Linked DNA regions of Caenorhabditis elegans. The protein of the gene in region 1 interacts with the protein of each later gene in a pairwise test. Each region holds a gene or a part of one and is shown in the gene's direction. Other genes may lie near its edges.

Region 1 (5,094 bases):
TTCTACACAGTATTATCTTTGACGCCTTTACTCTACAGTACCTATATCCTGTCTGTGGTATGTTCAACATCTGTGTTGGTTTTTGAATACACGAGTAGTTGAAGTCGCGCGTTTTTGTGAAAAATAGTGGGAGAAATGTGTGAGACGCCGAGAGCTCTAGAGATGAAAAGTAAGGAGAACTTTACCACAATGATAACCAGAGAAACCGCGCAATTTCTCACTTAACTATCGATTACCTATTTTTTCATTTTTATTATCATTTAGTCACTCTAAAATTCTTGGAAAATTAGATTTTTGTTCCTCACTTTTATGGTAAAAAGGGATTTTGTTTTAAAACTCTTTTAATTCATATAATCCAATTTGACCAAATTTTCAACGCTCCATTTCAAAAAAATTCAAACTTTCAGTCAGTTTTGGAAAAGTACCAAGATTTTGAAAAATTGGACTTCTTTAGCAATTTTGAGAATCGCTGCTGGTTTGAGACTCTATAATGATCGATTAATTTAAAATTTTTGGTTGAGTTCCAAAATGATAGTTACCGTGAGAAATTTCCACTTTTTGACTGTAAATTTAAAAAAATTCAAAAGTTTTGTAATGTTTAGTAGTTAGATATTCACCACTTTTAATTTGAACACTATCATTTAGAAACTGTTGAGAAAATGTTTTTTTTAATTAGGGTATGGTCATAATTACAAAAACAGATCATTATATACTCAACCTTGTGACTCACTTTCTTTGGTACTTGAGTGTTGTTTACAACTTCAGTGAGACCAAAAACGAATCGTTTAGGGATAATGGGAAGATCATATAAGATGCATTAGCGACTGAGATATTTTGGAAATATTTCGCAAAAGTTTCTGTAGAATTAAAAGTTTACTAAAATAATGAAAATGGTTTTAACTGTGTAATTTTGAGCGTTCTTCCCAATCTAATTTTTACCTTTTTTTGACTTTATCACGTTTCTCAAAACAGTGGTATCTTCTTTCTTGGCCAATTTTCAATTTAACTCTGTGAATCTATCCAATATAACTTTTTCAACAGTTTAAAGAATTTATATATTTTAACACTGCCTGGTTTTCAAAGTTTATACTTAATATGTGTTAAACTGTGGCGATCAATAATTTTTGCTTTGATAATAAATTTTCTGCATGTTTCTTTTTGAAATATCTTCATATTTTAAACTATCTAAATTTAGGGATGCAGTTTTGATTATTGGCATTGGGAAAAGTTATTCAGGACAACTCCAGTCCTAGTGGAAATGTTTCTGAAGTAAAATCCTCACAAATGGCAGTTCATTAAAATGTTAAATATTCCGGCTTAGAATATGATCTGAAATTTCATTCAATAAAATTTGCCCTTTTCCCTCTGCTAAACATGCTCATTTTGTTCTGCCAACACATGAAAACGAGAGAATCACACTATTTACCCGACAGATTACCTTTCATGCTGGCCTTTCTCTCCGGTGCAAATCTGTGGCTAACTCTGACGCGGTTTTGTGTCCGTGCTCATAAACATGCCATGGACAAATGCTTGTTTCATTTATGGTTTTTGTGTTACTGTTTCTGCTGATTTTGATTTTGAACAATCATCTGCGACTCTTGCTCTTTTGCTCTGCCTTCTGTGCTCATGGCTCTTGATCTAATACCTCTAAGTTTTTTTGTTTCCGCGCGGAAAGGAGTCTCAAGTGCTCCAACCCAAGCTCTTTCACGTATTGATAATACATCATTCTCTCTCGTCCACTTCCAGTCATGCTTTCTCTTTTTCTTCTTTTTCTATTCTAGAATATTTTCTGTATTTATTGTCTCTAGACTCTAGTCAAAATAGGTCACAACAAACACAAAAGTACAAGAAGTTGAAGTACAAATACAAGAAATAAGTAGAAGAAGTGACAAGAAAACATCTAATCCACAATGTCATGTTCCCTGTTTGTGGCAGAAGTTCGTGGCTCAAGGAGATGCTCCGTTTGTAGGTAAGAAGATTAAGAAACTAATTGTACTAACACTAGAAGACAGAATACAATAAAGCATTTCAATAAGATTTGTAAACTTATATGTAGATTCGGAGGTTTTTTAGAAAGTAATATTAAATTCTAAATTGAAAATATTAAACAAATTCTCAAAAGCTCCATGTTACGAATTTTTGAATTTGAAAAAAAAACAATCGAATTATAGTAAGAGAATCACTTGAAAATATTTCAGATGCGATATATCTGCTCACGAGCCAGCGGCCATCTACGTGGCACCGGAACGAATATTTTCAAATCTCCCACCAATCGCCACGTCATTCAGCAACAATAATAGTAGTTTTAGCAGGTATGTTCAAGCAATGTATAGCCGTTAATTGAAAATGATAATCTTGTCTTTTTATCTCTATTTACCTGTCTCGTTTGCTCGAGAACTTTCTCCTATTTAATAATAAAGATCGAGAAATGGATATTTCGCAAAATCGAGAGACGCCGGAAATGAGAGAACGTTTGATTTGCCTTGGTTTGACGTGATATCCGATCCAATTGTGATACGGATTGCGCAGTCTAGTGCTCTTGCCAGATTCTCCACACATTATGACTTTATCATTTCCGCTTTTGTGTCCTCTATCAAGCATGACGTGAAGCAATTTGATTGCGGTTATGAGTAGAGCTTTTGAATTTTATTTTTTGTTCATTTTTTTCAAAGAAAGTTAAAAATCAAAAGAGTATTTTAAAATACATATACCTGGGTAACATTTTTTTTATAAAATTAATCGTTTTTAGAAAATTTGTATCTACAATAGTGTCAATTTTGGTCGTTCAGAAAATTTGATAAATCTTCTTTTTCGATGGATTTCCAAGCACTGCGAATTCTGAAAATTGATATAAAAACCGACTTAGAAACATTTGAACGAACACAAAATAACACAAGAAACCAAAAATTTAGTACGTTATTTTGTTTGAAATTTAGGATAAGCGCAATTTAATTTTATTTTCTTAGTTTTTTTTAAAGAAAAATATCAATAGTTTCGGGAATTTTCTTCAAAAAATTGTTGGATGTGGAAATTTGCCGAGACAAACTTAGTAATGAATAGAATAAGAATATGTAAGTTAAATATTTTTCGTTTTTTCCCAGAGAATTTTGGAAACTTATCAAATGAAACTTAGAAATCTGTAGAAAATATAGAAAACAAACAAAAAAAATTATTTGCAATTTCGACTGAAAATTCAGTAACCTGATTTGAAGAGCTTCAAAAGTTTACAGCACTATTCAAAAATAGCGTAAGCTGACATTTACTTTTATTTCTGTTTTAAGACAAAATCTCTGAGTTTCAAGTTTTTTTTCAAATTCCTCTTTGCATGGATATTATGTAGTTACTTATGTCAAGATTTTGACACATTTTCCATTCACTTCTAACATAAAATGCGCATCAAAAACCAGTACCTATTCCTTACAAGGAGACTTTTTTTCAAAAATAATATTGTTCTGTAGTTAGAAACGCAGAGAAATGCCTTTCCGAGACGAGAAGATCGTTCATTCTCTGTGTGGAAAGCTTTGTGTCAAGCATCCAGTTTTTTGTGAACTTTCTTCTATTCATTTGCTCCTCAGCGGCTTGCCTTTGCTCATTGCTTGTTCGGCTTCTTGTTGATTACTGTTATTTTTTTGTTTTCTTCTACTCGTATTCCTACCTTATATTCAACTCCTGTTGAAAGGGATTGTAGAAGAAACAGTTCAGATGTATTTTGTGAAAATGTGTGAATATGAAATTTGATATCTTTGAATTAATGTATTTGTTCAGGATGTCAAACACTCCTCGAAGTGCAACTACCACAATAATCAACAATAACAGTAATAACAGTGGTCTTCCAATGTCCGAGCATTCGGCATTTAGTCCATATGCCAGGCCATCTTCATTGACATCGCAGGTATATTTAACTAATTTAATTATTTAGTTAAAGTTGAAAACCATATTGTGTACCAGGTTTTAAACTGAAGTTAGTGCAAATTTTCAGACGAAAGATTTTTAAATTGATTCATAGTCTGGCAAATTTTTGTTTTGATTTTAAATAAATGAAAGTAATCTTTAATAATTTCCTAAATTATTTTTCTAATTATTTATTTATTTTTTAGGTTTATTATTTCGATATGATAACAAAAATTTTTTGAAGCCTCCGAAAGGCATACTGAAATTTTATAAATTGACTTAGATTCCTAAATTTGTCTAATTAAAATCGTAATTTTGATTCCAAAATAAATATACAAAATTTTTAGAAACGTAAGATTGTAAATCCCCATTAAATTTAAAAACACTTTTTTTTCGCAGAAATAGGTTTGTACACAGATCAGCTAAACAACTAAACAATAAATTCAAAGAATGTTCGGAACTTCTAAAGCTAACCTATTCTCTTATACACACCGACCAAAACCTCTTTAAAAGCCTCTTCAATTGATCTTTCGTGTCTTGATCATCAATAAAAACCGTTTAGGATTCAAAACAATATCATCAAACTCCTCACGTTGTTCTTCGACCAGAGCCCCGATTAGCACTGCCACCTCTTCTTCAGCGTCAAGAAGGATCTGACTCGAACATCTCGAAGAAGATACGCAGTAAACGAAGAGAACGTCCACGAAGTGTCGGTTTGCTTGATCTGGGGTGAGTCAAACTACGAAGAAAGATATTTCCGAGAGGATAAGCGTAAACGATGTGGAACACTGTGTTTTGTACGAATGACATTTTTTGAAAGATATACAGTGTAAAAGAGGAGAGATGAAAGAAACGGAGCAAGTACAGAAAACACGCGTATAAACAAAGACAAGCGTGGGATGCCGATGATCACTTGAATTGAGGGTGAATGTCAAGTGGTCCACAAATATAGAGGAAGAATGTTTTCAGATAATTGATACTTTCAGATATTCATAGATTTTAATTTTAGATCCCGCGCTAGAACATGTCTCGAGACCATATGATAATTCTTAAAATATGCATTCCACATAGGGCCCCCTACTTTGCGGAGACTTTTAAAGCGTAGGCTTAATTTAAAATCTATATTCGCGTCATCTGTTTTTCTAGAGCTTTTTTCGAGTTTCTCACTTTACACAGAAGGTTGTTGTGTGCCAGACTTCCAGT
Region 2 (3,633 bases), 3.3 Mb from region 1:
AGCATGGAGTAAAGCATACAAGAATTGGAATAGTTGATTGAGTGATCAGAGCTTTTATCAATTGTTTCTGCAGACGTTTTGTAGTGTTGCTCATTGACAAATTTTCACTTTTCAGTTTTGTAATGATTAAAATACTGAAAATTGAATTTATCACCAGAGAAATTACGGATAACGTAGTTAATATCAGTATTGCACTCCAAGACTTCCACAAAACAGCTGGACTAGTCTCCTGAAAAAAAGTAATATCAGACACCTTCCAATTGGCTTACATGGTAAATCACAATAAAAATATTCAAATCATCGACATTTTGGTTAAACTCTTCCAGGAAAATATTTTGCATATATGTCAACCGCTCAGTATCAGCCACCATCCAGAAGTAGGCCATCTAAAAAAACTCATAAAATGTTGAATTTAACCTTTAATTTTTAACCGTAAATGTAAAACCTATGATAGTTAGGCAATAGGAAACTGAACATATTATACCATAAGGAATGAAACATGAAGAGAGAAAGGTGCTCCTGAAAATGATATTTGCAATACTGACCTTGAAAAGTTAATAGATACCTGAAAAGCACCATATACCGATACAAAAAATGTGCATGTAAAATTGGATATGTAGCGAATATGAAGCTACCTCTAAGGCATAAAGCAATTGTTCTAAATAATGATTTCTGAAAAAAATGTGGCTGCTCAGTGTTCAAAGTTCGGTTAACGCCAAATTTTTTTAACATAAATAATAGCGGCCGATATCTCATGGGACCTCAAGAAGTAGCAACGTGTTATAAACAGCTGACAACTTGCTTCAAAAAGTTCGCAAAGAGGGCCAGAAAATTGTAGAAGTTTGCAGCGCACATGTTACACTGCTCTCATAAAATTCATATTTTGAACTGATTTTAGAACATTCACAAGAGTAATTTTACTTTGGGCCTTCTTGTAAAAAACTATTTTTCACAAAAACAGACATTTTCAAATTTCAATGAGCCCGCAAAACGTCGGCTGCTAAGCCCTACCTTTTCGAAAATTCCATCCGTAATAAAATATGAAAATGCATATTTATAGTCCAAAGAAGACTGAAATAACAAGTTAGGACCGCAAAACCGAATTCCTTACCATTGGCATGAACACATCGATTGTCGAATTTAAAATGTTATAAATTGAGAAAAATATTAATAAAATTCTATAATTACCCAGATGAGTTTTTCTCTCATCATGAGCAATATAGATGCTCAGTAGATTGATGACAAAAGAGCAAGAGCCACTTATTTTAGGGGCATAATGGTGAATCCAGTTTATTCGCATTTTCCAAAACTTAAAGAACGAAAGAGAGTTATTCAAAATATTGTAAATATTATTTTTGTCAGCAAATGTGTGATCACAGAGCAGACGGTGTCCACGCATGAGGAACTATTCTATGAAGAAAGTTTGTTTAGTTTGATCAGATGATCCTGCTACATTTTCGAAACAACGTCATAAAGAATTCATTTTTTGAGCAAAGCAGCTTCCAATTTACTATTAGTTTTTTCTATCAACTAGTGAATCACGTGCCACAAAAAATAAATTTCGCCACTTCCACTTATCAATAATGTTCATATTTTTTGTGTGCTATCTTGGAAATGAACTTCAATTTTTATTTGTTCTGGCGTTGCTAATCTCTGTTTAGAGAAAATTGATTGACCCTTTTCACTCTTTTTTTCCGGGTGATGAATGTATGATGTTTTATTAAATTTGGAAATATGTTTAATTTCAGTGAAAAATGATGGAACCAGTTGAAGAGTGCGATGAAAATGTTGGAGCATTCCAATGGCAGCAAGCGTCAGAGACTTTGACTGCAATTCGTCAGCGGTTTGGGTTTGCGCTGGAGACTGCTGATCAGGAAGATCAGGCGCGAGCAGTGAGGTTTACTTGGAGTCTGAAGAAAACGTCGATGTTGGAACCGGATGAAATTTTAAAGTAAGGAAACTACGTACCTGCCTACGGATATTTTTTTCGAAATCTGTTATCACACGCGCTCTTAAAGGTGGGGTACCGAAATTTGAGACTTTGCTTTTTTAGACCCAAAATGGTCCAAAACTACCGAATTTCGTAATGAGACGTTGCGAAAATTTTTCAAAAAAAAGTTATGGCTTCTCAAAGTTTTGGAAAAAACGGTCTATTTTTAGCTAAAATCTCAAATTTTGGCAACTTATCGGTGTCGCAGCGGTTGGAAATTAATTTTTATTTGATTATCATCCTTTAAAGCATGCTATTACGTGTTATTTCGTTGATTGAGATATTTTTTGGCCAATGGGGACGCAAATATGACACAATTCTCCGTCCCCATCGGCCCAAAAAGCGTCTCAATAAACGAAACAACACGTAATAAAATGCCAAAACATGCTTTGAAGGATGATAATCAAAAAAAATTAAGTTCCAACCGCTGCGACAGCGATAAGTTGCCAAAATTTGAGATTTTAGCTAAAAATAGGCCGTTTTCTCCAAAATTTTGAGAGGCCATAACTTTTTTTAAAAAAATTTTCAGAACTTCTCATTACGAAATTCGGTAGTTTTGGACTATTTTGGGTCTAAAAACGCAAAGTCTCAAATTTCGGTACCCCACGGTACGTTGTAAAATATGTTTCAGAGAAATTCAAAAAGTTCTTGAAAGCTATGGCATTGATTATGAACAACAAAAACGATACCTTCTTCGGTGCAGTCATGTGGATCCTCTCACTGATGCTTCAGTAAAGTGGGATATCGAGGTCAAAATAACTGTTTTTTTGTTACCAAAACCTAGTTCTTTCAGGTCTGCACACTACCACGCTTGTATTTGAATGGAGTTCATTTTCAACGAATTTCGGGAAGCTCGAGCGACTTCAAGAACATTACTACGAAAATATCGGAAGAGCTTGATATTTAATTCTTAGTTTTTCTCATACGTCCCTTGAATAAATTAAATACTTTTTCCGAACTAGATACTTTTGCTTTTGGCGCTCAAAAAACGTGCAAAAATAAGGAGTCACTCATACCTAAAGTGCTCGTTAGTCTTCGTTTATTCAGTGGCAACATTCAACAGCGATTTCCTTCTAAACCTATCATAAAAATTGGCATACTTGTTTCGTTGATGTACATCCACTGGACCCACTACTATCTTCCAAAAGTTTTTGGGGTACTATCCTTCATTCTGAATCCATTTTTCATCTGGCTAATACTCAATGAAAACATTACTGCTCTGGGAAGTTATCGATACCTGTTGGTCACCTTTGCCAGCTTTGATATAATTTATACATTGGTGGAGTTAGCTGTACCTATGTCTATTTTTGGGACAGGGGCTGCTTTTGCAGTTTTTGTATCCGGTGGGCCTTTTTATGGGGCACGTTTAGACTGAAACATTTGGTTCAAAAGATACTTATTTTCCAGACAGGAAAACTTGGACAATTTGCTCTCTCCGTCCGATGTGGATTCATTTCTCTCTCATACGGAATCCTAGTTATTCATTTTGTCTATCGATACTCTGTATTGTTTTAATAGGTTTTTCATATACACTTTTGTATCTTTAACAACAATTTAGCACACAAATATCACATCAAAAACTTGGTTTCTGGGCGCTTCTTGGTCTTTTCATTTTCCTCATTTCTCATGGTATTGTGTGGAGT

The links.
Region 2: the proteins of ZC455.1 (region 1) and F14H3.12 interact in a two-hybrid assay, tested with the Caenorhabditis elegans proteins (one large-scale study listed by BioGRID).

What each region holds. Positions count from the first base shown.
Region 1 is NC_003283.11:12,771,612-12,776,705, forward strand, and holds the start of ZC455.1 (LIM domain protein), read left to right. Parts: upstream 1-1,910; coding exon 1,911-1,969; intron 1,970-2,196; exon of another isoform or gene 2,197-2,198; coding exon 2,199-2,312; intron 2,313-2,385; exon of another isoform or gene 2,386-2,517; intron 2,518-3,759; exon of another isoform or gene 3,760-3,765; coding exon 3,766-3,892; intron 3,893-4,453; coding exon 4,454-4,620; intron 4,621-5,094.
Region 2 is NC_003283.11:16,073,425-16,077,057, reverse strand, and holds F14H3.12 (non-specific serine/threonine protein kinase), read left to right. Parts: upstream 1-1,734; 5' UTR 1,735-1,754; coding exon 1,755-1,951; intron 1,952-2,621; coding exon 2,622-2,739; intron 2,740-2,783; coding exon 2,784-2,897; 3' UTR 2,898-2,941; downstream 2,942-3,633. Other genes in the region: srj-29 (Serpentine Receptor, class J), read right to left, coding at 1-229, 270-386, 432-519, 566-672, 1,012-1,071, 1,112-1,399; srj-10 (Serpentine Receptor, class J), read left to right, coding at 3,102-3,350, 3,398-3,498, 3,549-3,633.